4 linked regions of the Drosophila melanogaster genome follow. The protein of the gene in region 3 interacts with the protein of the main gene of each other region in a pairwise test. Each region holds a gene or a part of one and is shown on either strand. Other genes may lie near its edges. The genes, in order: CG13511, CG7173, CG13731 and CG42565.

Region 1 (8,199 bases), on a different chromosome or scaffold from region 3:
CAGTGAAATTCGAAAAAGAGATCTATCTGACCAAAGAGATCTAATTGAAGAGAAACCACTGAGAGAATCATGCAGCAATCAACAATTTTTTGGCACTCGGCTCTTCAGTCTCAGCAGCGCTCATCACTCGCCGCAAGGTCAACAAAAAGTGCTTAAAAACTAAACAAAACAAACAATTATAAGCGGAGCACCCACTCCGTTTGCCCCAACCCACGACCCCCATCCCTTCATCTCACTGTCTTTTCCATGCCCCCAAGAGGTAACCACACTTGCCGCAGATGACCTTGCAATCGTTGGTGGAGCGCCTCGGGCAGCAGGGATAGATGGGCAGCAGGGCAAAGCAGCTGGAAATGGATAAGGAAATAATCTGAATTAGAAATATAAATACTTCCGATCTTTGTTATTATCCTAATAGCCCTATACTACGATTAAATAATCTTATTTATATTCCATCCTAAGAATTTACTTTAAAGAAATGTCCTGGCCTTGCACTCACCACATGGTAAGGAGTCGCTCCAGGCGGACTCCCTGCTCGTGCAATCGCTCGTGGCACTCCGGACAGTACATCTGGCGGAGGCAACTAATGTTGGTGGCAGCGGGCGGCGGAGGTGATACCTTCTCGGCCAGTTGGCCTGTGGAGTTGCTCTTCCGGCAGAAGTAGGTATCCGGCTCGGAGTCCTCGGCATAGCCGTAGGGATAGCCTCTGTGTGGGGGCGTGGCCAGGAGCAGCTGGTCCAAGGCCTGAGCCGACTTCTGCTTGACCTGGCCGCAGTTGGGGTTCAGGTTAATCTCCACCAGATCCGCTGCGAACTCCTCGTCGTCGGGAGCTTGAAGGTGGAACTTTAGCTGACGGCTCATGTTGTTGAACTGACTCGACTCGGGTTTTCTATTTGCCTATAAATTGGGTTATTTTACAATTGAAACATAAGAAACATAAGTCAAACAGCTATCGCTTGGCGAGGGGGATTTATTATTATATTTTTTGGGCTGAGGGGGGAGTTAGACAAACCAGTTGTTCATCTGTTTGTCAAGCCCCCGTATTTGCCTAACACTATTTTCATGGTTGCGATGTTAACGGCTGCACTTGAACGTAGATCCCATGAGGAAAGCTTCCACAAAGCTGCCGGCGAGTGGGTGGTAAATGGAGCTTTTTCTATAAAAAATATACACAGTTATCTTAACCCATTGAAGATCGAAGTCTGTTTTTATTTTGACTTGAATAATTAAGACATTTCATAAGGTTTTTCAGGAAATAGTATCAAGCACGGAAAATATATATATTATTTTTAATCACAAATTAAGCAAGTTACACATTAATATCCAATATCCAATAAATAATTAAAAAAAATAAAGGCTTCACAAATGGAATGATGATGCTTCAACTGGCAAAGAATCATATCTACATATGTACATATATATAAACCGGTCACGCATTTGGTAAATTACAAAAATATTATATTATGGCGAGAGCACTCGAGTCGACAACCTGTGTTTGTTTATACTCTCTCCTCGCAAAATACACGTACTAAATGTTACATATGTATATTTTGGCCTTATTCATTGCCTTTATATGCAATAAAGGTGTTATCAAACAAGTGACTCATCTGTCGCCTATTCGGAGGAGAAGCATCGCTGTAGCTCACTAAATCAAGTGCACAATAAAAGAGGTATCCGATTATTAGTTCGACAGAAACCCCACTTGTATGGTAGCTATCACCTCTCGACGATAAGATAGTAGCCAATCGTTGAGGTATTGCGGGAGCCACAGTTTAAGTTCGTTCCTCAGTGCAACGCCAGCCAGCAAAGCGATCGGTTCAGTTCGGCCGGAAATCCAGAGTCTGCATCAAGAAGAAACATAATCCGAAACTATGGACAGCAAGCAGCCTCCACCGTACAGTGAACAGTCCGGATACACTCCCGCACAAACCTATCAGCCCGGTGGCCCCACCCAGCCACCACTGTACCCACCGATGCCGCAGCCACCGCAGTCCTCAACGGTGATCATCCAGACCACCACAACCTCCAACCTGGTGCCCATCGGCAGTGGACCCACCCGCATCCGCTGTCCCTCCTGTCACGCCGAAGTACTGACCACCGTGAAGTCCACTCCTTCCGGCAGGACGCACTGCTGGGCCCTCATCCTGTGCCTGTTCATGTGAGTCTTATAGTCACTAGTCATCTGATCTGAAGTCACTGCTTGCCACCATATGTATGTATGTATGTTGATTGGTCTCAGGAGCTTTGGGCCAACGAAAGTATCTTAGGGGGGACTTAGTGCTTCATTAATCCAGTCAAATGACCTTTTTATAAAATTGCGCAAAATGGAGTAAACCATTTTTAAAAGCAATACAAATCGGATATGTTGCCTATTAAATTCAGTAATATACATAGATGATATGATATCCTATAGATGATATCCTAACAATCTAGATATGTTTTCGTATCGCCCAAGCAGAAATGTTCTATAACCATTTTATTGCCAACTCGTTACAATAGCTCGGTTAAATGTTAAAAAGCTACGCCCATGAACCACTTGCGGCCCCTTATCGCTTGGAAAAAACAATAGGTTTCTACAGGTATTGCGACTGTGTGTACTGGTAATATGTGAAAACATTGTTATCTCAACTGGAACTGGAGTTGAGTCAGATAACGAATCCGAGTGGAAAGACGGGGTGAAAGCAAGCAAACTGACTGATTACGGCCTGTAGACGTCGTAAAGGCCAATTCGGAATTAGTGCTCTGACTAATAGTTTAATTCCCCGAACTTATCTAATCGATTCGTTTTCCACTCTATCCACACAGCTGCTGGCCGTGCGTATGCCTACCTTACTGCATGGACTCCTGCCAGAATGCCAACCACTACTGCCCCAACTGCAGCGCCTACATCGGCACCTACGAGAACTAACTAACTAACGCCTATTTATGCATACAAACGTATATACCTATAGAGAACCCTAAGCACTAGCGTCATAACCGAGAAAAATTGAACTGTAAATACACATGTACGAACGCCACACATTAAACTCATGAGACTCACACAGGAAACAGAAATGCGACAAGATATCTTGGGACAAGGCACTCTTTCCGCTAAATGGATTATGAAGTAATTTAATATTTTCAGAAATGTCTATGATAATGTTGACATTATTTAGTATTTTCCACTACATTTTGTACTGGTACTAAACAATTTCGATCGATCATTACGAGAAACCAACGCCAACATTTTAATGACCATTTTAAAACAATCTTTTTACTTTTTACTATCGCTTAAAAACCGTAATCAGTAAAATGGATCATAAATATCATAAATAGCTAAGACTATATCAATTGTTGTCTAGGAAACATAAACCCTTCTGGCACCTACTCAAGCCAACAACTGGAAATGGCCAAATGGCACAGAGCTACTGGAACCGAATGTCAATCGATTAGGTACTGCACTGGCCGACTCCTCTTGTACCCCTCCATATCGTCATAGTCATAGTAGGTTTCACCTAAAAAGTACTTGTCGATTAGTCAGAAAAGATAACGATTGCGATAGAGCAATGTTGTCATTAAATGGCGGGCTATTTCAGTGCATGCCCCGCCGCAAACATGAGCAGCACATGGATGGGCAGAGCTCCAGAACCGGCCGACACGGAAATGGTGACCGTAACCACGCAGCCAAACTATGGGGTGGTGGTGACCCAGATACCCGTCTACACCCTGAACGGAGTGGGGCCGGGCGCACATCCACTGGCTGTGGGCTGCAAGCCGATGAGGGTGAGGTGTCCGTCCTGCAGGGGCGAGGTCACCACCAGTCTGGCCACGTCCCCCACCCGCAAGACCCACATGTGCGCTCTGACCTTGTATATCTGCTGGTGAGTGGGGCGTCAGGATACCACCGGGCTTACTAACTTTGCTAACCTGATTCTCCAGCTGCTGGCCCTTCATCTGCCTTCCCTACTTCATCAACTACTGCAAGAGTGTCCAGCACTACTGTCCCAACTGTGGATGCCACATTGGGAGCTATAGCATTTGATCAAGTGCTGTGTCTCCGCACTGCCAAAAATGCCTTCCATGTCAAGACTTAATCAAGATTAGCCATATATGTATACAGATACATAAAATAATAACGTTTTAAATTTAAGTTCTTTTTGTTAATGACGGATGGTTTCTACTACTCTCACTGCACATATGAAGTAATCTTTTCTGGTCCATAATTTCCTCACCTAGTGTGCCAGTAGATAGATTTTATATTCGTATTAGGATAAATACCCAGAATATGAGGAAAGCGAATCAATTGAATACCGATACCGATAAGGCAGTTCTGAGTTTAATGAAACTGTCATCGATATACATATACGGAAGCTTTCAGTATTATATCAGTGCTCGTTCGCAGCTGTAAGCAACTGGTTGATATTTTTAGTGTGATTTGAAGAGTATAGAAAAGCATGCGTTGCTACAAGCGCGTAGACTCCCCGCCGCCCTACTCGGATCCATTCGCCACCGCTCCTCCAGCGGAGGACGTCATGCAGCAGAACCTGGCGTCGCCCGCACATCCCAATCCGGTGATACCCGTGATGGCCCAAACCATGCCGGTGTTGCAGCCCGTAAGCGTGATGCATCACCAGACGACAGTGCTGGTGGACAATACCCGCCAGGGAACGATCTGTCCCCACTGCAACGCTCGGATTCGCCTTCGCGTGGAGCACCATCCTACCGGATCAACTTACTGTATGGCGGCGTTGCTCTGCCTATTCCTGTAAGTAGATCGCATTTATGGTTGCAAGTATAGCAACAAAGGTTTGTACATACATAATGTGTATGTAAGCAAACGGAAAAAGAAATGTTTTTACTAGTCTGCTATATCTGTGGCCGCAATTGTTTTGCTTCTTCCTGGACAAGCTATGAGAAATTGCTGATCGTGCCTTATAAGCTATATACTCTATTTCCCATCTCTATCCACCAGATGCTGGCCCTGCGTCTGCGCCCCTTGCTGCTGCAACTGTTGCTACAAGACCTCCCAGTACTGTCCCAACTGCAACTCCTGCTTGGGTTCGTTTTGAAGACGCAGCGAAAACACTCGCCGATTTCATATCATTTCATTTTATATATATGTATATATATATACATAACCAACTATACATACATATATGTATGTATGTTCATATCTCCTTATGTATCGACGGCGTCAATGTGGTGTCTTCATCACTTAACATACATAAAAATATGTTTGCTTAGTGAGCAAAATAAGCTGACAGCGAAAAAATAAACAAATAGATTTTGAAGCGAATGGAATTTTCTTTAATTTCTGTTTCTGGGTATCTGGCTACATTGTTGCTGCAGACAACTAGATTTGCAGAAAAAATAATGTGAAACTTAATTGTTCATACGTTTTTTTTTTTTGTTTTTGTGTACTTTTTGGCGGTCTTTTCCCGAAACTTTTTCGTAGCACAACTCTTTTGTGTCCAGCAATAAATGTTGATATGAAACTGTTTTGAACCGGTAAAATGTTGCTGGGACGAACCGGCATGTTGGCACAGTTTAAATTGATGCTAAGATGCTTCAAGATTACTGTTCATGCTATTAAATGAAATCACTGAAGTTCTTTGCATTATAATTGAATATTTAGTAAAATATTTGAATTTCTGCTAAATGTTTAGTTCTTAAGAAATGGAATAAAAGGATTTTAATTTAACTCAGCCTAGGGATACGCTGTAATCAATTTTAAGGATGTATATAAATATCACTTCCCAGTTAGGCAACATAATGTTGCTAACGGAAATACTTTTGGAAGTGTAGTGTCCCGCTTCGCGCCCTAAACTTCTGACCGCACAACACTTTCGCAGCCCAAACAGTGCGCATTAACTTTTTGTCTCTCTGTGAAATCGGAATTCTACTTTATTTATTTTGACAACGTACCCACCCATACAGATTGTAAGTATGACGGGAGAGATATATTATGCAAGCCTAGGATTGGGTCAAACATGAGCAACGGACTATTATAGTCAGGTCTAATTGGGTAATATCTGGTTGTTTAGATGTTTACCGCTGCTTTGCCGCTCCCCAAAAAATTTACTTTTGCTTGGGGGAGAACTCAGCAAAGACATACAGGACGACAGTAGGATTTCGGGGGGAATGTTAATCACTGGCGACGGACACACCCGCTGTTAAATAAGGATACTGTGCTGGGTGGTTTGCGCTAGTGAGAACATACATAAATAGATTGTGTTGATTTTGGATAGGACCAGACCGAGCAAGCAAGTTGCACCAAACGACGAGCAAAGATGATGGATGGAATCGGGGTTGAGCGGGGCTCAGACACACGCGGTTGTGCGATGACGGCGTCGGCACGAAGCTTGCCACATGGCACAAGAGATTCCGTGGCCCACGAGGATGACCTCACGGCGGCAGGAGGGATTGCGCAGCACCGTGGTGCCATCGACGGGAGATAAGGCGGATTACAGCTTGTTTTGCATGGCGGGTGTGCAATTAAAATCCCCATTAACCAGCCAATTTAATGCTCATGCACCAGCGGCACGCGACGTATTCAAGTTTTCAAGGTCTGCGCTGCAATCAATATGAGAGTTATTAGAGTTTCCTGTGCTTTCTTTCTGCAGCTCCGCCATCGAAATGTCCACTTCCGTTGGCCCGGAACCGTGCATCGTGGTCTGCCCCAGTTGCCGTCAACAGGTTACCACTCGTGTGGAGCCGAAAGCCACCACCAAGACTCACCTGATAGCATTGATTATGTGCCTTACCTTGTAAGCCATGTTCGATATTGATTTCTTAACATTCTGGGTGCATTCTCATTGAGTGATCTCTTTCGTGCAGCCTTTGGCCCTGCTTGCTGCCTGTACTGCACTCAATGCGCCCGGAACTCCGACCACCACTGTCCATCTTGCAACGCCTACATTGGCACCTACGAGCGCTGAGCAACTTCCGCCGGAAGTTGTTTTTTTTTTTTTGTCGTGGACTGCAGCCAGCAGCCGTGCCGAAATGCAGCCCCCATTACTTATCCCCACTTGATCTATTTTTAACTCTCTCACATTTATTACTACGCACTATTTTGATAACAAAACAAATCATTGTAGTGCCGGCATATGTATTCTTCAGCACACCAATAAAAGGGTTCAAGGAAGAAACGAGTGGATTTTACCTGGGGGTTGATTTGTTTTAGAGACAACGCAATTCTTGAGCAGAGTTGAGTATTTCTTATGTTTTCAATAAATATGCAAATTGTTGTTATATACGTGCTAATAGCATAGCTGGAAGGACCATTTCGGAAGGGTAAAAGCTACTGGTTTGTTTACCTGACAATGGAATACCCTACTAAGTGCTAACATTTCTGTTTTATTGGTAAGTTTTGATATTAATTAATTCATCATGGCTGAGCAATTTCTTACTAAAGCTTTTCATCCTGCAAAAAAAAAAGAACACTTACTCATGTAAAAGCCCTTATTCTGATAGCCACATAATATTTAACGGAAATCGCTTAGCAAGCCATCCGACATAGTAGGGCTATATAGAATTCGCATCGCGCCGCAACTCGAAAGTTCGCCGAGCAATGTTGGAGGAGCTCTCTGCGGTTTCAGTCGCTGTCGGCAATTCAAACGCGTAGCACACATCGGTCGGAATAATTAGAATGGAGAAGAACTTTCAATACGAGAATATGCAGCCTCAGGCTCCGGGTTTCCAGGCACCGCCCAGTTATGATAGCGCACCGCAGCAGGTCTATCCTCAGCTCCATCAGGGACAGGGAGTGATATTGCAGGGTGAGAATACAGAGAACTATGAATCAATCGGAAATAATGGTCAATTCTTCTGTGCAATTCAAACATAAAATATAATATCGCATATTATACGAAATCCAATCGTGCCTCTTTCAGCTCCACCCAATGTCCTGGGCCAATGTCCATCCGTTGCCACTTGTCCGAGCTGCGGCGTCCGCAGGGAGACGAAGGTGGAGTTCGAGCCCAGCACCAAGACCCACCTGTTGGCCCTACTCATCTGCATGCTGGGGTAAGTGCAGCCCGTTTGCTCCACCTGCCCGCAGGACTAATGGCCATTTTCAGGGGCATTTGCTGCTGCTGCATTCCGTACTGCACCGACTCCTGCCAGTCGGCCAAACACACCTGCACCAGCTGTGGAGCCTACGTGGGCACCTACAAGAACTAGAAGTGCTATCTCAACACCAAATATTACAGGGATAGATCCCAC
Region 2 (7,485 bases), 4.2 Mb from region 3:
ATTGTGATTATTCGCCACTCGGCAATGCACACGGCGACCAATTACTATCTGTTCAGCCTAGCTGTTTCAGATCTGCTGTACCTACTATTTGGTAGGTTAACTAAATAAAATAGGAAAATATAGTTAACTGAATATGCTGTTTTAAACAAAACTAGGATTACCAACGGAAGTGTTTCTGTACTGGCATCAGTATCCGGATCTCTTCGGCATGCCATTCTGCAAAATACGCGCATTTATTTCAGAGGCGTTAGTATAACTACTTTTGACTACACGTTTAGCCATTTATAAACCCAGCTGTGTTTCAGATGCACCTATGTCTCCGTCTTTACCATCGTCGCATTTTCCATGGAGAGATTCCTGGCCATTTGCCATCCATTGCACCTGTATGCTATGGTTGGCTTCAAGCGCGCGATTCGGATAATAACAGCTCTTTGGATTGTTAGTTTTATAAGCGCCATTCCATTTGGACTGCTCTCGGATATTCAATACCTCAACTACCCATTAGGTATGAAACTATTTACATCATAAGTTCCCTAGCAGTACAAAAATGGTGCTTGGTGCTCGAGTCAGTAGTTGCTCAAATGAAGTAAATTGCTGAAACCTTATAAATCAATTGAAATGGACTTTAATTTTGCGAGCGACCTGAACTTCACCATCCAACAGCCATGAATGGTTGAAGTATATTCTTTGAATAATATCCAAATAACATGAACAGGTATAAATGGCATTCGTTGCGCTTTTCAGATCATTCCCGCATTGAGGAGTCGGCATTCTGTTCCATGTCGCCCAAGATTGTTAACGAAATTCCCGTGTTCGAAGTATCCTTTTGCATTTTCTTTGTCATTCCGATGATACTCATCATTTTGCTCTACGGACGAATGGGAGCCAAGATTCGATCTCGAACGAACCAAAAATTGGGCAAGTACCTGGCTTTTATTGACCCCAAAAGATCCGACTTCAGGGATGTATTCCAGGTGTTCAACAAGGCACCAACAACAGGGAAACGAGAAACTCCCAAATGAGAAAGAAGACGGTTATTCGCATGTTGGGTGAGCTTTTCCCAATCAATCCCAACAGAATCCATCAATAAAGTCCCCGTTTAATCAGTATAGCTGCTGTGGTGATTACGTTTTTCGTGTGCTGGTTCCCGTTCCACCTGCAAAGACTCATATTCCTGTATGCCAAGAACATGGATAACTATTTGGACATAAACGAGGCACTCTTCTCGATTGCGGGATTTGCGTACTACGTTTCATGGTAAATGAACCCAAATTCTATTAACTTATTTATCTGATTCAACTGGCTTGACAGCACCGTAAATCCAATAGTGTACAGTGTGATGTCACGTCGCTACAGGGTTGCGTTCAGGGAACTCCTCTGCGGAAAAGCCGTGGGCGCCTATTACAACAGCGGATTTGCGAGGGATCACTCCAGTTTCCGGGAAAGCTCCGCCTACGACCGCGTTCATTCTGTAAGTTATTAAGTTATTGAAAGCACATTTTAATCCAACCTAACCTAATTTGGTTATTCTATCTCAAATTACCCCATAGGTTCACGTCAGAGCCAGCCAGCATCCAAATAAGTTCGAAACGGACTCCTCATCTGCAAATAGGGTGCTGATAAAGAAAACCTACAGCCTCCCGCTACCAAAAGTAATTAAACAGACCAAAATCATAAATACTCATTGAAGTATAGCATAGTGTCCTAGAGTATGATATAGTAGTAAATTAGCATAAATTTAGTTATTACAGATGCGCAGATTCTTTTGAACTGGAAATCCCAGAGTTATTTCCAAACTTTTCTGTGTCGCCGGACTCTCGGAACTCAAAGATACCTGGGCGAATAAATCAAATTAAAAAGTTATTTCACTCTGCGTCAATTTGTGTATCCTTGTAATTCCCAATGCTGAAGTTGCTTAGTATTCCGGCTCCATCCCCGCTTAACTTGATTTCGCTTTGTTTACACAAATACCCATGGGAACATAACTTTTCCTTACATTGCCTGTTGAGCGAATTAAAGTGCTCGTATGTGATTGTTTGAGTTTGTGAAATAGTAAAATACAGGGCGAATAAATACTACATTACTTTTCACCTGCTTGTATTCCACGTGTGTATATTAACTTTGGACCTTGCACTTCCAGAATGCGGACTCCACGGTCCTGAGCACCACGGACATTGTCATCGTGCTGGAAAACAGCCACACAGTTTGCGAGGAGCCCAAAGTTGAGAACGATATTTGGATCGAGAACGAGGAGACTTGTATTTAAGCACGAGGCCATTTCAACATTTGTAGTTTAAGCCAAGGACGTCGAGAACAACCTTTTGTAGAACTAATTTAAGAGCTAAGAATTGCGTATTGGGAATTTAGTGATATGACTGGGAGTCTGTCTAAATTCAAATGTGCCCCCGCACAAAGGAGATTTATTTATTTCTACAACATCTCATAATATTACTAAATAAACCAACTGAGTTTTATTGCTACCGAGTTGTTTTTTTTTAATTGTGTTAGGTCCTTATAAATATTTATTTATACATAAAAAGGTAATCAGTTCCATTTTCACAAACTTACTGGCCACAAAAGAATCTGAGATATTTGAAACTTTATGGAATAACAGGGCTTTTATGAATGAATACATTAACGAACGATTACAGTTTCGAGCGATTTGCATAACAATGATCCAAATTATCGTTTTCATGGCTTGTTCTCTCGAAAAAGCAGTGCCAAATTGACGACAAAAGCGAAAGTTGTACCCATTATCCCAGTATCTATAATTAAAAACATTTTCACTTTTACATGAGGTAAATAACCCTGCATTCACAAGTCTCAGACATCCAGCCATCTGGCATTCTGTATAAGCAAATTAATCTCTGATGTTTGAGGAACTCCGAACCAATTACGCATAGGTCTCCAAAAGATCTTATCTCCGATTTACTTTCACCAGCACTCAAGATAGCCAGATTAATGAGCATACCTGGCCAATGGTTCTGTCGCATCTGGAGCGATGTCACGGTGCCCCGAGGCTCGAGTGCTCCATCTTCGTGTCGCGATATGATCTCTCGGGGATCTCTCGGTGGACACCACATGCACATCCAAATCCAAAAACATCGACATCGACATCGACATCCACATCCACATCCACAGCAGCTCCTCTATGGCAGCAGAGGCAGCATCTCAAAACTGGTTTAGTGGCCATTCCGACACTCCGAATTCCAGCACAGCTAGTTCAGAAACGTTCCATTTGCCACTCAGTTGCTTTCCAACCGACGGCACCGCCGAAATTCAAGAAGAAAGTAATCGGATGGATGTGGATGCTCGAGACCCTCCATTGATTAACGGTGCTGCGGCGTTGGAACCACAGGCTCTAGAAAAAGTGCCCATCTTAAGCTGATATGGCGAACCAAGTCGGTTTTAAATAGATATACATAGATAGCTGCATCTGGGCCCAGAGACGAGGCCACCACATTGTATTTGGCTGCAGTGCCGCGAGGCGTTCCATTTTTATTTAAACGACTGGCCGGATAACAAAGAAAGTGAGATCAAGTCTGCGCGATCGTGGATCGTCGAATGGAAAAGAAGCTTCGCATGTGTGCGTGGTTAATTCGAAAGAAACTTTTTTGCTTTTGGCCGCGGAACTGACAAATGTCAAATACCAATAGACCGTCGTGGAACGAAGACGAGCTTTAAAAATGACTCAGAGTCCGCTTAAGTTGGCCCCCATTTTGGAGGCCCTAGTTCTGATAGTGGTCCTAATCAACCAAGTGCAGTGCGGTGAGAATGATATGAGACAAGCGCGCATAAGGCAGTTTCTGAGTGAGAACCAGCCCCTGGCCCAGCACCATATCAAGCACAATCGGCCGCCGGGTCCCGGACAACTGCCCCGGATAAGATCGCGATCGGATAACCTGGCCATGCTTTCTGGTGGCTCCAACAAGTTCTTGCGGTCGCCGCAACCTGCCACTGCGCAGCACATCATGCGTCGCGAGCAGTTCGGGAACTTTCCTGCGAACGACCAGCTCAGGAGGTACCAGTTCGACCAGAGTCAGCAGGGCAGATTCGCCCACGTAAAGGACACTCCGGTGCTAGATGTGGGCAAAAACCAGTTCCCACTCCAGTATGTCTCCGAGCAGTACATTCAGAACTTCAAGTCCTCGCCGCGCTTCAATGGCAATGTGATCATGAAGGACACCAAGCCAGTGTACGCACCCATCCAACAGCATGCGATTCCCGTCCAGGCCTCCCAGTACCTGCACTATCCCAAGCTCTTCGGACAGCAGGGATCTCCCAGTTTCAGTGTTGTCCCTACCCAGCAAACTGCTCTCCAAAACAGCCAGTTTCCCCAGGATCCAAATAGCTACTCTGTCTACGAGGATACCGATATACCTGCGAAGCAGGCGGTAAACTTTCGCCAGGCAGTGCCACCACCAAAGGAGTCCAGGGAGGCGCAGGACTACCTGCAATTCATGAGCACCAACGAGTACTTCCTGCCCAAGAGGGATCCTGACTTCAAGAAACTGGACGCCGAGCGGGACCAGCAGAAGCTGCTCCACCAATATCCACAGCAATACAGACAGCAGCAGCAGCAGCAACTGTATCAGCAACAACAGCAGCAGCATCAGCAACCGCAGCACCAGCAGCCGCAGCAGCAACAAGCGCTGCAGCAACATGTTCCCTACAAAACTGCTGGCCTAGACAACTCAGTCTCCTCCAGTTACAATGAGCCCATACAAGTGTCCGACTTGTTCTACCAGCAAGATCCCGCTCCTGCGAATTCCGCAGTGGTTCGCGGCAGTTACCAGGCAGGTCAGGATGTCTTCGTTGTCAAGTCCGACGGCAACAAAGCCGTTAAGCATGTGGTCTCTACTCCCATGGCGGTCCAGACCACCACTCAATCGCCGTCGAAGAGCCAGCACCTCGCCAAGACCCACAAGAGCTTTACCCCGGAGCCTCTGCGATTCGAGTTCACCGAGCAAGATGCCATAAGGGGATCGATGAAGTACACCCAAGCCCCGCAAGCCAATCAGTACTACTACGAAACCGTGGCCCAAGCTCCCCGCGAGCCCGCGAAATCTCCTGCCCCGAAGATTGAACTCAGCAAGCCCATTAAGGAATACACCGATGACCCAGAGGATAGTTCCGACACTGAAAGTGGAAAGCAGGTTGGTTCTGTTTCTCAATAAATGTGAAAACCGCAAGTAGCTTATATAAGCTAGCATATTTGTTGGCCAAAAAGTGGCCACAAAAACAAGCACTTCCAACCTTTAAGGCATTTTATAATGATTTTTACGCGATTTAGTGAGTACTTAATTTCGATCAAATCGTTTACGGGTTTAAAATAGTACTCTTCTTTGAAAAAATAAACTTAAAAAAATAGTTGATTCTATCAACTCAAGCTACAAAAATTATACGACTCATCAAATACCAGTAACAGTTTTTCCTAATAAGATCAAATTCTTTTTGCTGTGAATTTAGCTCTTACATTTTTAATTTTAAATTTGCCCATTTCAGCAAGATATTCCAAAGGTGCCCACTGTGACGAGTTCAGCTACTCCTGACGATCCAAAGGACACGGAAAACTACTGCGAGAAGATATGTGCTAATGTGTACGATGAAAACGATGAAATAATCTGTGGATCCGACGGATACATGTACACGGGCGAAACCCAACTGCAGTGCTATTCGTCATGCCTCAATATAAGTAAGAGTTTCATACCCAATATATGTATTGTCTGTATATATTTTAAACCAACATGTTCTATTCCAGGTGTGACGATTAAGAGTAAAGGATCTTGCTCTTAAACTAAAATAAAATAAAAAACTGTTTTAATTTAATTTATTCTAGCGATTACAAAATATGCAAATTTAGTGGAAATGGTAAAATGTAGGGTTTTGTAAAAAGTGATTTTGATTTGTTGTTCACGTATAAAAATATCGTGCACTTATAGCTTTCCTATTCATTAAAGTGATAACTTATAAACTATTAGTGCATGTATATTTAAGTTCTACAATATATTTGTATGTATCTCAAAAATCATTCAGAGAAGTTAGTTATAATAAATAAATTAACGAATTGCAAGAAAACATTATCGAAAATCATATTTATATATATAAAATAAGAGACTATCTGGGCTTTTTGCCTTAGGGGCAAAACAAAAGAGACAGGAGCATCTTCTTGCTGAATAAGGGAAACCTGTATAAGGGTTTGGAATTTATTAAGACTTTGTTAGGTGTGGTTTTTACAGCTGTAATCTGTTTGTAATCTGTTTCATTATGGCAGGCAAAATGAAATTTAAAAAAGTGGCTTAATGCTTAAAGGTTATACAGTATTCTTAACAATGTTATAACTCGTTCGAAGAGTAACGGTCTACTGTTCAAGTTAACAGAGGCCAGGTAACATCTCTGCTAATGCGTAACATATATATTAGGCAAGCTGGTAGCTTGGGTGGCATCACCGCCGATAACACTTGTGTAACAATATGCGCTATCGATAGATCACGAACACAAGTAAACCCAGTTGCTTTGTAAAATTTTTTGTGAAAGTAAAGGGAACTTCTGGCGAAATAACTTCAATTTTCCGCTGACTCTCGCACGCGTTCAATCCAATTGACCCCCCTTGTGGAGGTGACACTATCTCCCGAAAGACTTACCAATCCCCCGTGCCGTAATATGAAAGCTTGCTAGCTCGAATTGCCTTTGAACACCACAATCACAAATTGAAATCCTCGATGCGAACGATCCGACAGTCGCAGTGCGAGCCCTAGACCCCGTCCCGGTCGTAAATCCCCAACTCGAGCACGATCCCGTCGAGCGAAGGACTTCCGGAAGGAGCGGCGTGGAAACATGACATCATAGTCGCTGCATATGCTTCCTGTCCCGAATCAAATGTACATAAATATGTATGTATAGCCAGCGTACCGCACATACGCACATATCCCTCGCGACAGAACAGAACAGAGTAGAGTGGAACGGCAGAGCCAGTGACGAACGTAGTGCAATCGAAACTAGTGATTCATGGAAAGCGCACACCTCGGCCTCCTGGAGACGGCGCCACTACCTCCTCCACCCAGCTGTAAGCGATATTTCAGACGTCGGCACCAAGCAACGAACATAAGTGGGTGTGGGAATGGTCACCTTTCCCTGCTCCTGCCCCTGCCCATGTCTCTGCCCCAGTCCAAGCCAGTTCCTCCTGTCAATAGTGCCGGAATTTAACCTTTGCTCCATTCCTCCATGCCTTCATGTACTCATTCACCGCCTTGCCTCTCGCTTCAGATTAAACGTGGTGGTCTGCTGCTAAAAATCTTGCAAAATTGGACAAACCCTCTGCGACTTCGTACGACAACAAGAGGTCGTACCTGCGAACCGTGCTCGGAAGGGAAGCGCCATCAGCGAAGATGGTACTACCTCCTGCACCACGCAACCTCAAAGGTGAGTTGGAGTCATTGCCAAAACATTTAGGGAATATCTCTATTTATTTAAATATTGTTTTTA
Region 3 (10,081 bases):
TGTTGCTGCTGGCGCAGGTACTGTTGCTGCTGCTCGTGCTGCAGTTGCTGCAGCTTGGCCCGCATCTTCTCGATGTCGCTGTCGCTGTCCGAGGGCTCGATCTCCGTGGTGGCCTGGGATGGCTCGTCTGCTGAGGACTCAATGTCGTTCAGAGATTGCTGCTGCTGGTGCTGCTGATAAAGAGTGGCTGCGGAGGCGACCTTCACTACCATGAGAGACATCTGCGGGTACACACAAAATGAAATCAAAGATAAGAGATAATTGGGAGATGTACAATTACGGCCCCCTTTCCTCATGTCTAGATTTTCGCGTAATTGTTACTCAAAATATGTAAACAACAAACAAAAATTGTCCAATTACACTGTACTGCGTAATAAAAAAAAAACCCTTTTGTATAAGAGGTTCGAATCCTCAACTCACTATTGTGTACACCAGGATCAGGCCCATAATCCACCGCCTGCCTTTAGTCCAGCAAGGATCCAGTCGCGTTCGAGTGTCCCGTTGTCCTTGACCGACTGCCGACTGCATGAACATCTTTCCGGGATCTGCTGCTCGAACCACTCGGCTTGCCTATCGCTTGATGAATGTGGGCCTGAGCTTCTGCCTCATCGCGGATCGCAACGATGACTGATTGCAACTGGGAGCTGGCGGCGCCTAAAAAGCGTCGGTTATATCGGCCCAAGTGCAACAGCTTAATTAGAAAGTTTAATAGAGTTTGGCTGCGAAAGCAAAACAGCAAGCTACAGACAGATAAATAAATTAATTGCTCAGGCGAATTCGTGCTCCCAGGCAAGTGGAAAAGAAAGAGATATTAAAAAACGCATTGACCATGAAAATCTGAAGATAGCTGCGAAGTAACTAGAAATATCTTCGGGGCGTGATGAAACCGAAGTGGTTATGCACTCACGAAGGAGCTGACTAGCCATAGCTCTAATTTTGTATATAAGTGAAATACTTTTTAAAAAGGGAAATGATAACATTTAGTGATAATCAATAATTATATTAAAAAAATCGATTCAATATTTTAAAAGTCATAAGTTCAAATCACATTTTAACTATATCTCAAATTTGACATTTAATTATAACCTAAGGTTAAATTATTTCATATTTCATGAAAATATACATCGCTCATAGTAAACATACATGTATTTAAATACCTACTCATACGAACTTTTCAAACCTATTAACTAAGCTAACGTGTTTCACATCCATAACTTAAATTAGTAGAGACCAGAAGTGGAGGTCAAGGTTAACTGCCTAACCTGCACTTTGGGCGCTTTATGACTTGCAAGCAACGATCTCCTTTGCATAGTCGTTAAAACCGACTTTTAAGATAACTCCCAAAAGAGGAGGAACCCACGAGACCAACCAGACCACAAAATCTCCCGGACATGGCTTGATCCCATTTCCCGGTTAGGAGTGAAAAAGAAAATATGTTATTATTGTTTGGGTTTCAAACATCGCACATAACATAACAGGACCGCATGTAATTTCCGCTTCCCAAAAACAGATGAAAAAAATGCTTGTAAATATTCGAAAAACTTATTTTATTGTTCAGGTTTCAGCGATCCGAATTAAAAGTTTATTTAATCGTAATATAGAGCTATATAGTCTTGAGCTGGCGTCCGTCACAGACGACGGCCGCCCATCGATTGTAGAATAGTGATAGAACATAGCAAGAGTTGGATAGACTGTTAGCTGTACAATTGGGGCACTCATTTACAATGATCCCTAGCTGTATGAGTATGCGATTCATTAATTACAAAAATAAAATAAAAACAAACAAATGTCGTCCTTGCAGGCGCACCAGTGGCGCCCTCTAGCACCGCTGGCGCCGGATCGTGTAAAGTTAGACTGTACGAGAATTGACTAGATCAATCTAGCCCTAGACGATGGCCCTATCCCTAATCACATCTGGATCTCTAGATCTAGAAGTTGAAGGGGATGCTGGGCACGGGGTACTGGTAGCCCTGGTGCTTGGTGGGTGCGGGTGGGACGTAGACTGTGGTGCGCTGCGTAGGGGGTGGCACGTACACGGTGGTGCGCACTGTTGGTGGTGGCACGTACACGGTGGTCCTACGAGTGGGTGGTGGAGGAGGTCGGGTGGTGCGCACAACAGTGACGGGGGGCAGGTAGGTGGTTGGTGGCTTAGTTGGTGGCCGAGTGGGTGGTGGAGGAGGGCGGGTGGTGCGCACAGTTGGGGGAGGCAGGTAGGTGGTTGGTGGCTTAGTTGGGGGCCTCGTGGGTGGAAGAGTTGGCCGAGGAGTGGTACGAACGGTGGTGCGAACGGTGACCGGTGGCAGAGGCTTGTTGGTGGGTGGCAGGTAAGTAGGAGCCGGGGTTGTCAAACGACGAGTGGTGGGTGGGTAGGTTGGTGGCCGGGTTGGTGGGCGAGTTGGTGGTGGGGTGGCACGGGTGGTGCGCACGGTAACGGGAGGCAAGTAAGTGGTTGGTGGCTTAGTTGGTGGCCGAGTGGGTGGTGGAGGAGGGCGGGTGGTGCGCACAGTTGGGGGTGGCAGGTAAGTGGTTGGTGGGCGAGTTGGTGGCTTGGTAGGAGGCAGAGTTGGCCGAGGAGTGGTACGAACGGTGGTGCGAACGGTGACCGGTGGCAGAGGCTTGTTGGTGGGTGGCAGGTAAGTAGGAGCCGGGGTTGTTAAACGACGAGTGGTGGGTGGGTAGGTTGGTGGCCGGGTTGGTGGGCGAGTTGGTGGTGGGGTGGCACGGGTGGTGCGCACGGTAACGGGAGGCAAGTAAGTGGTTGGTGGCTTAGTTGGTGGACGAGTGGGTGGTGGAGGAGGGCGGGTGGTGCGCACACTTGGGGGTGGCAAGTAAGTGGTTGGTGGGCGAGTTGGTGGCTTGGTAGGAGGCAAAGTTGGACGAGGAGTGGTACGAACAGTTGTGCGCACGGTGACTGGTGGCAGTGGTTTGTTGGTGGGAGGCAGGTAGGTAGGAGCTGGAGTCGATGCACGGGTTGGTGGTGGTGGTGGCCTAGTTGGAGGAGGGGTTGGGGGGCGAGTTGGGGGACGAGTTGGTGGTGGGGTGGCACGGGTGGTGCGCACGGTAACGGGAGGCAAGTAAGTGGTTGGTGGCTTAGTTGGTGGACGAGTGGGTGGTGGAGGAGGGCGGGTGGTGCGCACAGTTGGGGGTGGCAGGTAAGTGGTTGGTGGGCGAGTTGGTGGCTTGGTAGGAGGCAAAGTTGGACGAGGAGTGGTACGAACGGTGGTGCGAACGGTGACCGGTGGCAGAGGCTTGTTGGTGGGTGGCAAGTAAGTAGGAGCCGGAGTGGTCAGACGACGAGTGGTCGGTGGGTAGGTTGGTGGCCGGGTTGGTGGGCGAGTTGGTGGGGGGGTGGCACGGGTGGTGCGCACGGTAACGGGAGGCAAGTAAGTGGTTGGTGGCTTAGTTGGTGGCCGAGTGGGTGGTGGAGGAGGGCGGGTGGTGCGCACAGTTGGGGGTGGCAGATAAGTGGTTGGTGGGCGAGTTGGTGGCTTGGTAGGAGGAGGAGTTGGACGAGGAGTGGTGCGAACAGTGGTGCGCACGGTGACTGGTGGCAGTGGTTTGTTGGTGGGAGGCAGGTAGGTAGGAGCTGGAGTCGATGCACGGGTCGGTGGTGGTGGTGGCCTCGTTGGTGGTGGTGTTGGACGACGAGTGGTCACTGGTGGCGGTGGCTTGTTGGTGGGTGGCAAGTAGGTTGCTGGAGGACGAGTGGTTGGTGGCTTAGTTGGGGGCCTCGTTGGTGGAGGAGTCCTTGGTGGTGGTGGTGGAGGAGGCAGGCGGGTGGTCACTGGTGGCAGTGGCTTGTTGGTGGGTGGCAGATAGGTTGCTGGAGGACGAGTGGTTGGTGGCCTAGTTGGCGGCCTCGTTGGTGGAGGAGTCCTTGGTGATGGTGGTGGAGGAGGCAGACGGGTGGTCACTGGTGGCAGTGGCTTGTTGGTGGGTGGCAGGTAGGTTGCCGGAGGACGAGTGGTTGGTGGCCTAGTTGGGGGCCTCGTTGGGGGAGGAGTCCTTGGTGGTGGTGGTGGTGGAGGAAGACGGGTGGTCACTGGTGGCAGTGGCTTGTTGGTGGGCGGCAGGTAGGTTGGTGGTGGCGTGGGAGGCCTGGTGGGTGGCCTGGTGGGTGGCCTAGTAGGAGGGCGCGTTGGCGGCCTTGTTGGCGGCTGTGTGGTGCGGACGGGCAGATCGAATGGAACATCGGGAGGGGGGTAGAAGTATCCCTCGGCGGCACGAGTCTTGCGCTGTAAAAAGTGGCTTGTAAGTTCCTGTTGGCAGGGAATCGTCAGATTTCCGCACTTACCTCATGGTTATCGGCCGATGCGGTGGCCACAGCCACAACGCAAAGCGCCAAGACGAACAGTGCACTTCTCTGTGGGGAAGGAACGAAAAACACAGCCTGATTAGTGATGCTACATATTGATGGACTTCGATGGTGTCGCCGTACAGAGGTGCTCAGACTAACGACTGGCTCTAACAACCTGATTGCGACTAATTGATCGCCTTCTAGGCTAATCGCCTATTCACGCTTCGTGGCAACTTGGTCGGGGTCGGAGGAGGCAAGGCAACTCCGCTGGCCTGCAGTTCAAAACTGTGGTAAAGTTCAGCCAACAAACAGCCAAGCTGGCGAATCGATTTACCATAATGCATTGAAAATCACCCGAAATGCTAACGCAGACATTCAACTTTGACGGGCATTAGCATCTCTAGGTCAGTCCCCTCCCCCGGAGCTATGTATGTAAATATCGCAGATTGACGCGATTGATACATAATGCCCATGCAAATGCGGAGCGACACAACAGATCCGAAGCTCAATGGGGATCCGAGGAAGTAGCCCCTGAATTATGGCTTCCGACGATGCTGTCAGCGGGTTTATTTGCATTTGTCGCTGGAGTTTCGGCAAGGTCATTGTTAGTTAATGAAAGTGCTCGTCGATGGCCGCAGATGGCCAGTGTCGATGAGCTCAATTAATTGGCTGACGGAGAATTTTCGGGGGCTATAAAAATAGCCGATTATGAAAGAAACCGGCCCGGATCCGGGCCCCAAACTCCAGACCAGTTCTAGCCATGATTATATAATAATCAGCAAAGACTGGCCATAAAACTAGTGAGAAAACGCAAAATTAGCATACGCATCTGGCATGCGAAGAATAGTAAGCCCCGGTTGTCATTTATAACCAAATCTGTTAGATTTTAAGCCATACCTCCAAAATCGACTGGGTCCAGTTTCATTTATTTTTTTTGTTGGTTTCTGATTGTTTGCTAATTTCAAAAATATTTGATCTTTGTATGTAAATGATTTTAAATAATTTATGCTAATGAACCTAAAATTTTTGCTGTTCTAACTTGTTTTAAATATCAGCCACAATTGAGCTGAGGATATCGAGAACCAAATCGGGTTTGACTTATGGCGGGTGGTGCTTAAAGGTTAGAAAGTGAAAGGACTTGGAGAGATATTTGCAGGGGCAAACCGATTCCCTCGACTGTTCAGTGAGCTAATTGGCAGCTAATTAATCTGATTCACACCGCCTCGAGGGCAGAGCCCCAATGCCAAGACTTTTGGGGCAACTTTATTTTTCCGAAACTGTGAGAGATTTGGGTGAATTAAAGTCTGGGGAAAAGATCAGTCGGCCCTTTAACAAATGAAATCTTCTTTGGCAACAATGATGGTGATTAATGGACGTCTATTCAATGGCAACGTCAAGAATCTAACTTAAGGCAACGTTTTTATGGCTATTTACCTAAATACGCCAATCGCAAATTGCGACTAGCAAATGTCAGAAGCAAAAGCGAAAATTATGGAAAAAAAAACAAGTTTTAATTTCATCTTCAGCCATGTCAATGCTGACATAGAAACTGCCGCCACATGGCAGAATGCACATGCAGCTGGTCCATCCTAATGACTTAATACGCAAATTGCGGATCGCGCCAAGGCGATTTGCTCTGTGGGCGGCCAACACGGCGTATGCGTAACATTGCACTCGATGCCACTTGCTCAATTTCTACATGGCTTAAATGTCAACCGCCATCTGGTCAACTCTTAACTCGCGATGATAGCCCGGGTCCAGAGCTGGACCCTCGACAAAATGTGAAATGCAAATAGATGGCGATTGAATTGGAACTGCAGTCGGTGTTGGCAATTTATTTGCTATTTCTTCTTGTTTGCGATGCTTGGGTATGCACAGAGAAAAATCGGAATGATTTTGAATGAACTTAAAGGCCCTATCTTATCTTATAACCCTTTTTTATGATTGTATCCCTATAAAATTGTAGAACATGCTTTTTTAGTATCCTTTTATACAAGTTCGGATTAATAAATTTCTGAAGATCTAGCGCTAAATAGCTGACACATTATTTTAACACAAGAAATGTTTTAATTTAAAATTAAAGTTTGAATACAAATATCATTGAAAATTCGTATTCGTTCAATTATTTTCTGTACTGTCACAAGCCCAAACTATAAAACGTGGAAACTCCCTAAATATTTTGGACCAACAAAACTGATACTTTTTATCTTCATCTGCACTGCTTTTCCTTTGCGAAATGTCTGTCTTGTTTGTCTTCACACCGAGGGACACTTGTTTCGTTATTTTGCACTTTGCACACGATCATTGTTCGTTTTGGTTTAGATTGGATTGGAACTGGGTTCGGTTACCATGGTGTACACTTTCGGACTGCTACAAACGGCAGTTGCGGTAATCCCGGGTGCGTAGGTAATCCTAGGCGGTGTGCGTGAATAATCCTTGCGGACGGTACTGTGAGGATCGGAAAGGAGAAGACGCGACCGATCGTATCAAATTCAATGGACGATTGAATTTGATCGATGCCAAGCTAAGTTGGTTTAACTTCTAGGTCGAGTGTGGAATACCAACTAAAGCATCAAAACTTGTAGATTTTCTATATATACTCGGACCCAGCATCTGCCCACTTGGGCAGCGGCGTCGGCAGAGGCATCTTCACCTGGGCGACAGCTGTTAACACACGGCCAAAAGCCGAAATCGAAAGCGTTTTGGCCAGATGAAGATGAGCCGAATACGAAGTCTCTGCCGCTGCTGATGCCTCAGCCTTCGTCGACAGCGACGCCGACAGCTGAATGCTGACCAGAAAGCCAACCAGTCTCGGTTGTTTGATGTTTGTGAGTTAACAGCCAGATAACATGGCTAAGACAAAAAGGCAGCCAAATTAAGGCCCAGCAATTATGGCAGAAGAGCAACTAAGCCAGACGCACCATCCGGCCATCCGACCATCCATCCACCAACGCCTGCTCTTGTTGGCATTTCTATTTAGCCAACTCCGATGGCTGGCAAATATGCTCGTACTTTTGGCAGAAGTCTGCGGCGAGTGTTAAACACGTTGTCGTGCAGCATTTAATTTGGTAAATGGGTCCGAGCCACCGAATTTCATCAATCGATGAGACAAGCCGAAGCTGGCTCGACGATCGAGAGCCAAGTCAAGGCTCCCAACGAAGCTTGCCAAGGCAAATAAGGCCGAGAAGATCAGGCGTTGGCTAATGGCACTTACCCCTCGGATCAGGCCTAAATGCAGTTGGAGTTGCGAGTCGATGTTGGAGTTGGAGTCGGCCAATTGAACATGAACCGGTTGACTTGGCCAAAAATGCGTGTGCCCGGGGGTCAGCAGATGGCAGCCGGAGTTGAATGTTAAGGTAGGCTCAGCTCGGCTCAGCTCATCTCTGACTCCGTGTCAGCCGAGTGACCTTTAAACGCACACTCGAAGATCTCGATGATCGGTGATCGGTGATCGGTGTTCAGTGCTGCATTCTTCGAGCGACTCCCAAACGGGTTTCGGCATTTGTCATCGCCTGCATTTCGCCAGTTTAATAACTAGAATTTATTTATTCGCAAGCAGTCACGTCTTGATTTTAATGAACCAATCAGAGTGACACCCACTGGCCACGCGCAGTCATGAGCGGGCCCAAAATAGATGTGACTTTGAACTCTTTCGGCCCAAAGGTGCGTGGTCACTGGGTAGTCAGGGTCTAGATAAAACGGCGGAACAACACCCAGAGGAAGTGCAGCCGAACGGAAGTCACCCCTGCGGCCATCAGACGCCACTTAGAGCCACATTAATTCTTGTCTTTTATTACATAATTGCTGGCTAACTTATTCGGGTCATAACTTGCTTCGCACATCTTCACAAAGGCAATGACACTTGGCGGCGACTGCTGACATTTCAAATTTGTCATTGCGGATAACTGAAGCGACTGAATTGTTTTTATTATTTTTTTCTTTTTTAGTTTTTGGCTCATCGAATGCTTCTTGACTGCCGGCTAGAGGAAAAGCCTTTTTTTGTCACCTCATCCGACATTGCAACAGACGATTATTCAACTTCCATACCGAGTGTCTGATAATTTGCTGCCTCAAATTTTGGACTCCACTGAAGGACGTTAGCGGTTTTCGAATCAAACAAGACCGTCGCTTGAGCCTGTTCTAAACCGCATTCTAGACAGGTTGCTATTTGGATAATTTAAAAATATATTTGTTAATCTAGGGAAGTTTCAGAGCTCGTATGTGAATTGTTATGAGCCTTTGTCTTCGGGCGCGGAAATCATAATATCTAGTTTTTCATTATGTTTTATCAGAATGGAGATCTTGTCTTGGCGCTATTTCCGAACATTATTTTGTATAAATGGGATTTTTAGTCATCAAAAACAAAACGAGAAGCGAGATAAACAAATCTTAAATCATAAAACTAACTACACTCTTTTTCTGGTAAATACAAAAAAAAAAATCGTCACAAAGAACCATATTCTGCAGATGCAAATTTTTTGTAACACAATTAAATATTATATAAATCATGTTGAAACTGCTGAGTAGATTAATTGTATTCTTAAATGCCTCGACGCTTGTTTTTAAAGACGTGTACCCATTCAGGTAGACAATTAATATTACTTATCTAATCCTAGAGCAAATTAAATACCCTCACGCACCGGCCATTAAAATTGAAATCAAGTCTCTTGGCCAGCAACTCGAAAAACTCAACCGCAAATCGGCTAATAAAAAGTGTTCGCCGAAGAATAGAAAACCGAGAAGAAGATGTCGCCACTGAATATTTATAAGAAGGCCGATGACTCTCTACCCACCCAGAAGATTCACGCATCTTTGAATGGATAAAGAAGCGTCTCAGAGTGCGTGGATATTCAAATTTCGCGGATCTTGTCTTGGAGAGAATCATATAAATTTCCGAGTCAAATGTCACGTCACCTGCGTCAGCGGTTGGCAGAGAAGGGAGCACCGAAAGATTGTTAATTGTGCTTATGATTTATGCAAATTTGTCCCAATACATAACGCGAATCTCTGGTAACTTCTACATGGCTTCACTCAAGGCGGACTATATTGTTTTCTGCTTAAGATTTATACTTATGTAAATCCGCCAGCTAAACAGACGCCCAACCCGACTAACTAGTTTGCCACATTGTTTCGCTTTTTTGTGCTCAGTTTGAAATTTGGATTCGAGTTCTGGTCTAGGAAGTGGAATTACCAAAGGTTTTATAAAAGGTTCGAACTGGATTTTACAACACAGCAACTTTGAAATGGAAAGTTCTTAGTAGGAAAAATTTTTACCAATTTTTAGAAGTTCCTGAAACCCAAGTCCAAAATATCTTTAAATTAGAGAGTTGGAAAGTCTTGATTAAAATATAATTGAGTCCTTAAATCCTTCTATAATAATACTCTTAAGTATGTATATACAACGAAATAGACGACAATTACGTATTAAACTGAACTATATTCGGGTTATTTCGCCCTTGAATAAAAGACATATTTCATTCATTGACTCAATTAATCAGGCTGACAAAATGTATTCGAATATCGATTAAGTCTTTTAACCATATCTAGATGGGCTGAATGCAAATAAATAAAGCCTGACTTATCGACCACTGATCTGTGAAACATTCACCTTAATTTGATTCGGATCGGCCAGAAAGACCTAATTAATTCTTTCAACAAGTTGTCGCTCGCCTTTGTTCAAACAATAAAAAGTACAGTTAGAAGAATTCAAAACAGAAATACCGACCGTAAATTTATGAATATGATTTGGCAAAATGTAAAATGTTTGCGATGCGAGTGAATAAT
Region 4 (5,975 bases), on a different chromosome or scaffold from region 3:
CCGCACCTGGTAGCTGCTGGGTCCGATGCTGAAGAATCGCACCTGGGGTTTGCTAGGGCGCTCCTCCAGCGTGACAGTGGTGGCCGCCGACTGGCTATCCCTGTCCCCCTCCTGGAGATCCACCTCCAGATCCGCATCCAAGTCGTTTCCCCGAGACATTGCGACTGGCCGGCGTCAAGTGCTAAACATTTTGGCGAATCCCGAGGCAGTGAAATTCGAAAAAGAGATCTATCTGACCAAAGAGATCTAATTGAAGAGAAACCACTGAGAGAATCATGCAGCAATCAACAATTTTTTGGCACTCGGCTCTTCAGTCTCAGCAGCGCTCATCACTCGCCGCAAGGTCAACAAAAAGTGCTTAAAAACTAAACAAAACAAACAATTATAAGCGGAGCACCCACTCCGTTTGCCCCAACCCACGACCCCCATCCCTTCATCTCACTGTCTTTTCCATGCCCCCAAGAGGTAACCACACTTGCCGCAGATGACCTTGCAATCGTTGGTGGAGCGCCTCGGGCAGCAGGGATAGATGGGCAGCAGGGCAAAGCAGCTGGAAATGGATAAGGAAATAATCTGAATTAGAAATATAAATACTTCCGATCTTTGTTATTATCCTAATAGCCCTATACTACGATTAAATAATCTTATTTATATTCCATCCTAAGAATTTACTTTAAAGAAATGTCCTGGCCTTGCACTCACCACATGGTAAGGAGTCGCTCCAGGCGGACTCCCTGCTCGTGCAATCGCTCGTGGCACTCCGGACAGTACATCTGGCGGAGGCAACTAATGTTGGTGGCAGCGGGCGGCGGAGGTGATACCTTCTCGGCCAGTTGGCCTGTGGAGTTGCTCTTCCGGCAGAAGTAGGTATCCGGCTCGGAGTCCTCGGCATAGCCGTAGGGATAGCCTCTGTGTGGGGGCGTGGCCAGGAGCAGCTGGTCCAAGGCCTGAGCCGACTTCTGCTTGACCTGGCCGCAGTTGGGGTTCAGGTTAATCTCCACCAGATCCGCTGCGAACTCCTCGTCGTCGGGAGCTTGAAGGTGGAACTTTAGCTGACGGCTCATGTTGTTGAACTGACTCGACTCGGGTTTTCTATTTGCCTATAAATTGGGTTATTTTACAATTGAAACATAAGAAACATAAGTCAAACAGCTATCGCTTGGCGAGGGGGATTTATTATTATATTTTTTGGGCTGAGGGGGGAGTTAGACAAACCAGTTGTTCATCTGTTTGTCAAGCCCCCGTATTTGCCTAACACTATTTTCATGGTTGCGATGTTAACGGCTGCACTTGAACGTAGATCCCATGAGGAAAGCTTCCACAAAGCTGCCGGCGAGTGGGTGGTAAATGGAGCTTTTTCTATAAAAAATATACACAGTTATCTTAACCCATTGAAGATCGAAGTCTGTTTTTATTTTGACTTGAATAATTAAGACATTTCATAAGGTTTTTCAGGAAATAGTATCAAGCACGGAAAATATATATATTATTTTTAATCACAAATTAAGCAAGTTACACATTAATATCCAATATCCAATAAATAATTAAAAAAAATAAAGGCTTCACAAATGGAATGATGATGCTTCAACTGGCAAAGAATCATATCTACATATGTACATATATATAAACCGGTCACGCATTTGGTAAATTACAAAAATATTATATTATGGCGAGAGCACTCGAGTCGACAACCTGTGTTTGTTTATACTCTCTCCTCGCAAAATACACGTACTAAATGTTACATATGTATATTTTGGCCTTATTCATTGCCTTTATATGCAATAAAGGTGTTATCAAACAAGTGACTCATCTGTCGCCTATTCGGAGGAGAAGCATCGCTGTAGCTCACTAAATCAAGTGCACAATAAAAGAGGTATCCGATTATTAGTTCGACAGAAACCCCACTTGTATGGTAGCTATCACCTCTCGACGATAAGATAGTAGCCAATCGTTGAGGTATTGCGGGAGCCACAGTTTAAGTTCGTTCCTCAGTGCAACGCCAGCCAGCAAAGCGATCGGTTCAGTTCGGCCGGAAATCCAGAGTCTGCATCAAGAAGAAACATAATCCGAAACTATGGACAGCAAGCAGCCTCCACCGTACAGTGAACAGTCCGGATACACTCCCGCACAAACCTATCAGCCCGGTGGCCCCACCCAGCCACCACTGTACCCACCGATGCCGCAGCCACCGCAGTCCTCAACGGTGATCATCCAGACCACCACAACCTCCAACCTGGTGCCCATCGGCAGTGGACCCACCCGCATCCGCTGTCCCTCCTGTCACGCCGAAGTACTGACCACCGTGAAGTCCACTCCTTCCGGCAGGACGCACTGCTGGGCCCTCATCCTGTGCCTGTTCATGTGAGTCTTATAGTCACTAGTCATCTGATCTGAAGTCACTGCTTGCCACCATATGTATGTATGTATGTTGATTGGTCTCAGGAGCTTTGGGCCAACGAAAGTATCTTAGGGGGGACTTAGTGCTTCATTAATCCAGTCAAATGACCTTTTTATAAAATTGCGCAAAATGGAGTAAACCATTTTTAAAAGCAATACAAATCGGATATGTTGCCTATTAAATTCAGTAATATACATAGATGATATGATATCCTATAGATGATATCCTAACAATCTAGATATGTTTTCGTATCGCCCAAGCAGAAATGTTCTATAACCATTTTATTGCCAACTCGTTACAATAGCTCGGTTAAATGTTAAAAAGCTACGCCCATGAACCACTTGCGGCCCCTTATCGCTTGGAAAAAACAATAGGTTTCTACAGGTATTGCGACTGTGTGTACTGGTAATATGTGAAAACATTGTTATCTCAACTGGAACTGGAGTTGAGTCAGATAACGAATCCGAGTGGAAAGACGGGGTGAAAGCAAGCAAACTGACTGATTACGGCCTGTAGACGTCGTAAAGGCCAATTCGGAATTAGTGCTCTGACTAATAGTTTAATTCCCCGAACTTATCTAATCGATTCGTTTTCCACTCTATCCACACAGCTGCTGGCCGTGCGTATGCCTACCTTACTGCATGGACTCCTGCCAGAATGCCAACCACTACTGCCCCAACTGCAGCGCCTACATCGGCACCTACGAGAACTAACTAACTAACGCCTATTTATGCATACAAACGTATATACCTATAGAGAACCCTAAGCACTAGCGTCATAACCGAGAAAAATTGAACTGTAAATACACATGTACGAACGCCACACATTAAACTCATGAGACTCACACAGGAAACAGAAATGCGACAAGATATCTTGGGACAAGGCACTCTTTCCGCTAAATGGATTATGAAGTAATTTAATATTTTCAGAAATGTCTATGATAATGTTGACATTATTTAGTATTTTCCACTACATTTTGTACTGGTACTAAACAATTTCGATCGATCATTACGAGAAACCAACGCCAACATTTTAATGACCATTTTAAAACAATCTTTTTACTTTTTACTATCGCTTAAAAACCGTAATCAGTAAAATGGATCATAAATATCATAAATAGCTAAGACTATATCAATTGTTGTCTAGGAAACATAAACCCTTCTGGCACCTACTCAAGCCAACAACTGGAAATGGCCAAATGGCACAGAGCTACTGGAACCGAATGTCAATCGATTAGGTACTGCACTGGCCGACTCCTCTTGTACCCCTCCATATCGTCATAGTCATAGTAGGTTTCACCTAAAAAGTACTTGTCGATTAGTCAGAAAAGATAACGATTGCGATAGAGCAATGTTGTCATTAAATGGCGGGCTATTTCAGTGCATGCCCCGCCGCAAACATGAGCAGCACATGGATGGGCAGAGCTCCAGAACCGGCCGACACGGAAATGGTGACCGTAACCACGCAGCCAAACTATGGGGTGGTGGTGACCCAGATACCCGTCTACACCCTGAACGGAGTGGGGCCGGGCGCACATCCACTGGCTGTGGGCTGCAAGCCGATGAGGGTGAGGTGTCCGTCCTGCAGGGGCGAGGTCACCACCAGTCTGGCCACGTCCCCCACCCGCAAGACCCACATGTGCGCTCTGACCTTGTATATCTGCTGGTGAGTGGGGCGTCAGGATACCACCGGGCTTACTAACTTTGCTAACCTGATTCTCCAGCTGCTGGCCCTTCATCTGCCTTCCCTACTTCATCAACTACTGCAAGAGTGTCCAGCACTACTGTCCCAACTGTGGATGCCACATTGGGAGCTATAGCATTTGATCAAGTGCTGTGTCTCCGCACTGCCAAAAATGCCTTCCATGTCAAGACTTAATCAAGATTAGCCATATATGTATACAGATACATAAAATAATAACGTTTTAAATTTAAGTTCTTTTTGTTAATGACGGATGGTTTCTACTACTCTCACTGCACATATGAAGTAATCTTTTCTGGTCCATAATTTCCTCACCTAGTGTGCCAGTAGATAGATTTTATATTCGTATTAGGATAAATACCCAGAATATGAGGAAAGCGAATCAATTGAATACCGATACCGATAAGGCAGTTCTGAGTTTAATGAAACTGTCATCGATATACATATACGGAAGCTTTCAGTATTATATCAGTGCTCGTTCGCAGCTGTAAGCAACTGGTTGATATTTTTAGTGTGATTTGAAGAGTATAGAAAAGCATGCGTTGCTACAAGCGCGTAGACTCCCCGCCGCCCTACTCGGATCCATTCGCCACCGCTCCTCCAGCGGAGGACGTCATGCAGCAGAACCTGGCGTCGCCCGCACATCCCAATCCGGTGATACCCGTGATGGCCCAAACCATGCCGGTGTTGCAGCCCGTAAGCGTGATGCATCACCAGACGACAGTGCTGGTGGACAATACCCGCCAGGGAACGATCTGTCCCCACTGCAACGCTCGGATTCGCCTTCGCGTGGAGCACCATCCTACCGGATCAACTTACTGTATGGCGGCGTTGCTCTGCCTATTCCTGTAAGTAGATCGCATTTATGGTTGCAAGTATAGCAACAAAGGTTTGTACATACATAATGTGTATGTAAGCAAACGGAAAAAGAAATGTTTTTACTAGTCTGCTATATCTGTGGCCGCAATTGTTTTGCTTCTTCCTGGACAAGCTATGAGAAATTGCTGATCGTGCCTTATAAGCTATATACTCTATTTCCCATCTCTATCCACCAGATGCTGGCCCTGCGTCTGCGCCCCTTGCTGCTGCAACTGTTGCTACAAGACCTCCCAGTACTGTCCCAACTGCAACTCCTGCTTGGGTTCGTTTTGAAGACGCAGCGAAAACACTCGCCGATTTCATATCATTTCATTTTATATATATGTATATATATATACATAACCAACTATACATACATATATGTATGTATGTTCATATCTCCTTATGTATCGACGGCGTCAATGTGGTGTCTTCATCACTTAACATACATAAAAATATGTTTGCTTAGTGAGCAAAATAAGCTGACAGCGAAAAAATAAACAAATAGATTTTGAAGCGAATGGAATTTTCTTTAATTTCTGTTTCTGGGTATCTGGCTACATTGTTGCTGCAGACAACTAGATTTGCAGAAAAAATAATGTGAAACTTAATTGTTCATACGTTTTTTTTTTTTGTTTTTGTGTACTTTTTGGCGGTCTTTTCCCGAAACTTTTTCGTAGCACAACTCTTTTGTGTCCAGCAATAAATGTTGATATGAAACTGTTTTGAACCGGTAAAATGTTGCTGGGACGAACCGGCATGTTGGCACAGTTTAAATTGATGCTAAGATGCTTCAAGATTACTGTTCATGCTATTAAATGAAATCACTGAAGTTCTTTGCATTATAATTGAATATTTAGTAAAATATTTGAATTTCTGCTAAATGTTTAGTTCTTAAGAAATGGAATAAAAGGATTTTAATTTAACTCAGCCTAGGGATACGCTGTAATCAATTTTAAGGATGTATATAAATATCACTTCCCAGTTAGGCAACATAATGTTGCTAACGGAAATACTT

What was found.
Region 1: the proteins of CG13731 (region 3) and CG13511 interact in a two-hybrid assay, tested with the Drosophila melanogaster proteins (one large-scale study listed by BioGRID).
Region 2: the proteins of CG13731 (region 3) and CG7173 interact in a two-hybrid assay, tested with the Drosophila melanogaster proteins (one large-scale study listed by BioGRID).
Region 4: the proteins of CG13731 (region 3) and CG42565 interact in a two-hybrid assay, tested with the Drosophila melanogaster proteins (one large-scale study listed by BioGRID).

The regions. Positions count from the first base shown.
Region 1 is NT_033778.4:22,656,121-22,664,319, forward strand, and holds CG13511 (uncharacterized protein), read left to right. Parts: upstream 1-1,780; 5' UTR 1,781-1,868; coding exon of another isoform or gene 1,869-2,155; intron 2,156-2,802; coding exon of another isoform or gene 2,803-2,905; 5' UTR 2,906-3,591; coding exon 3,592-3,857; intron 3,858-3,915; coding exon 3,916-4,018; 3' UTR 4,019-4,430; coding exon of another isoform or gene 4,431-4,741; intron 4,742-4,948; coding exon of another isoform or gene 4,949-5,045; 3' UTR 5,046-5,269; downstream 5,270-8,199. Other genes in the region: CG43325 (uncharacterized protein), read right to left, coding at 233-344, 497-858; CG13510 (uncharacterized protein), read left to right, coding at 1,869-2,155, 2,803-2,905; CG42565 (uncharacterized protein), read left to right, coding at 4,431-4,741, 4,949-5,045; CG4250 (uncharacterized protein), read left to right, coding at 7,625-7,793, 7,869-8,001, 8,055-8,157.
Region 2 is NT_037436.4:21,553,962-21,561,446, reverse strand, and holds CG7173 (uncharacterized protein), read left to right. Parts: upstream 1-3,220; 5' UTR 3,221-3,686; coding exon 3,687-5,156; intron 5,157-5,505; coding exon 5,506-5,695; intron 5,696-5,761; coding exon 5,762-5,796; 3' UTR 5,797-6,074; downstream 6,075-7,485. Other genes in the region: CapaR (capability receptor), read left to right, coding at 1-91, 156-246, 306-505, 745-918, 975-1,049, 1,113-1,257, 1,312-1,471, 1,551-1,652 and 1 more.
Region 3 is NT_037436.4:17,382,100-17,392,180, forward strand, and holds CG13731 (uncharacterized protein), read right to left. Parts: upstream 6,858-10,081; 5' UTR 6,649-6,857; coding exon 6,646-6,648; intron 4,364-6,645; coding exon 4,295-4,363; intron 4,236-4,294; coding exon 1,929-4,235; 3' UTR 1,537-1,928; downstream 1-1,536. Other genes in the region: CG13728 (uncharacterized protein), read right to left, coding at 1-221, 421-534.
Region 4 is NT_033778.4:22,655,915-22,661,889, forward strand, and holds CG42565 (uncharacterized protein), read left to right. Parts: upstream 1-1,986; 5' UTR 1,987-2,074; coding exon of another isoform or gene 2,075-2,361; intron 2,362-3,008; coding exon of another isoform or gene 3,009-3,111; 5' UTR 3,112-3,797; coding exon of another isoform or gene 3,798-4,063; intron 4,064-4,121; coding exon of another isoform or gene 4,122-4,224; 5' UTR 4,225-4,636; coding exon 4,637-4,947; intron 4,948-5,154; coding exon 5,155-5,251; 3' UTR 5,252-5,475; downstream 5,476-5,975. Other genes in the region: CG43326 (uncharacterized protein), read right to left, coding at 1-159; CG43325 (uncharacterized protein), read right to left, coding at 439-550, 703-1,064; CG13510 (uncharacterized protein), read left to right, coding at 2,075-2,361, 3,009-3,111; CG13511 (uncharacterized protein), read left to right, coding at 3,798-4,063, 4,122-4,224.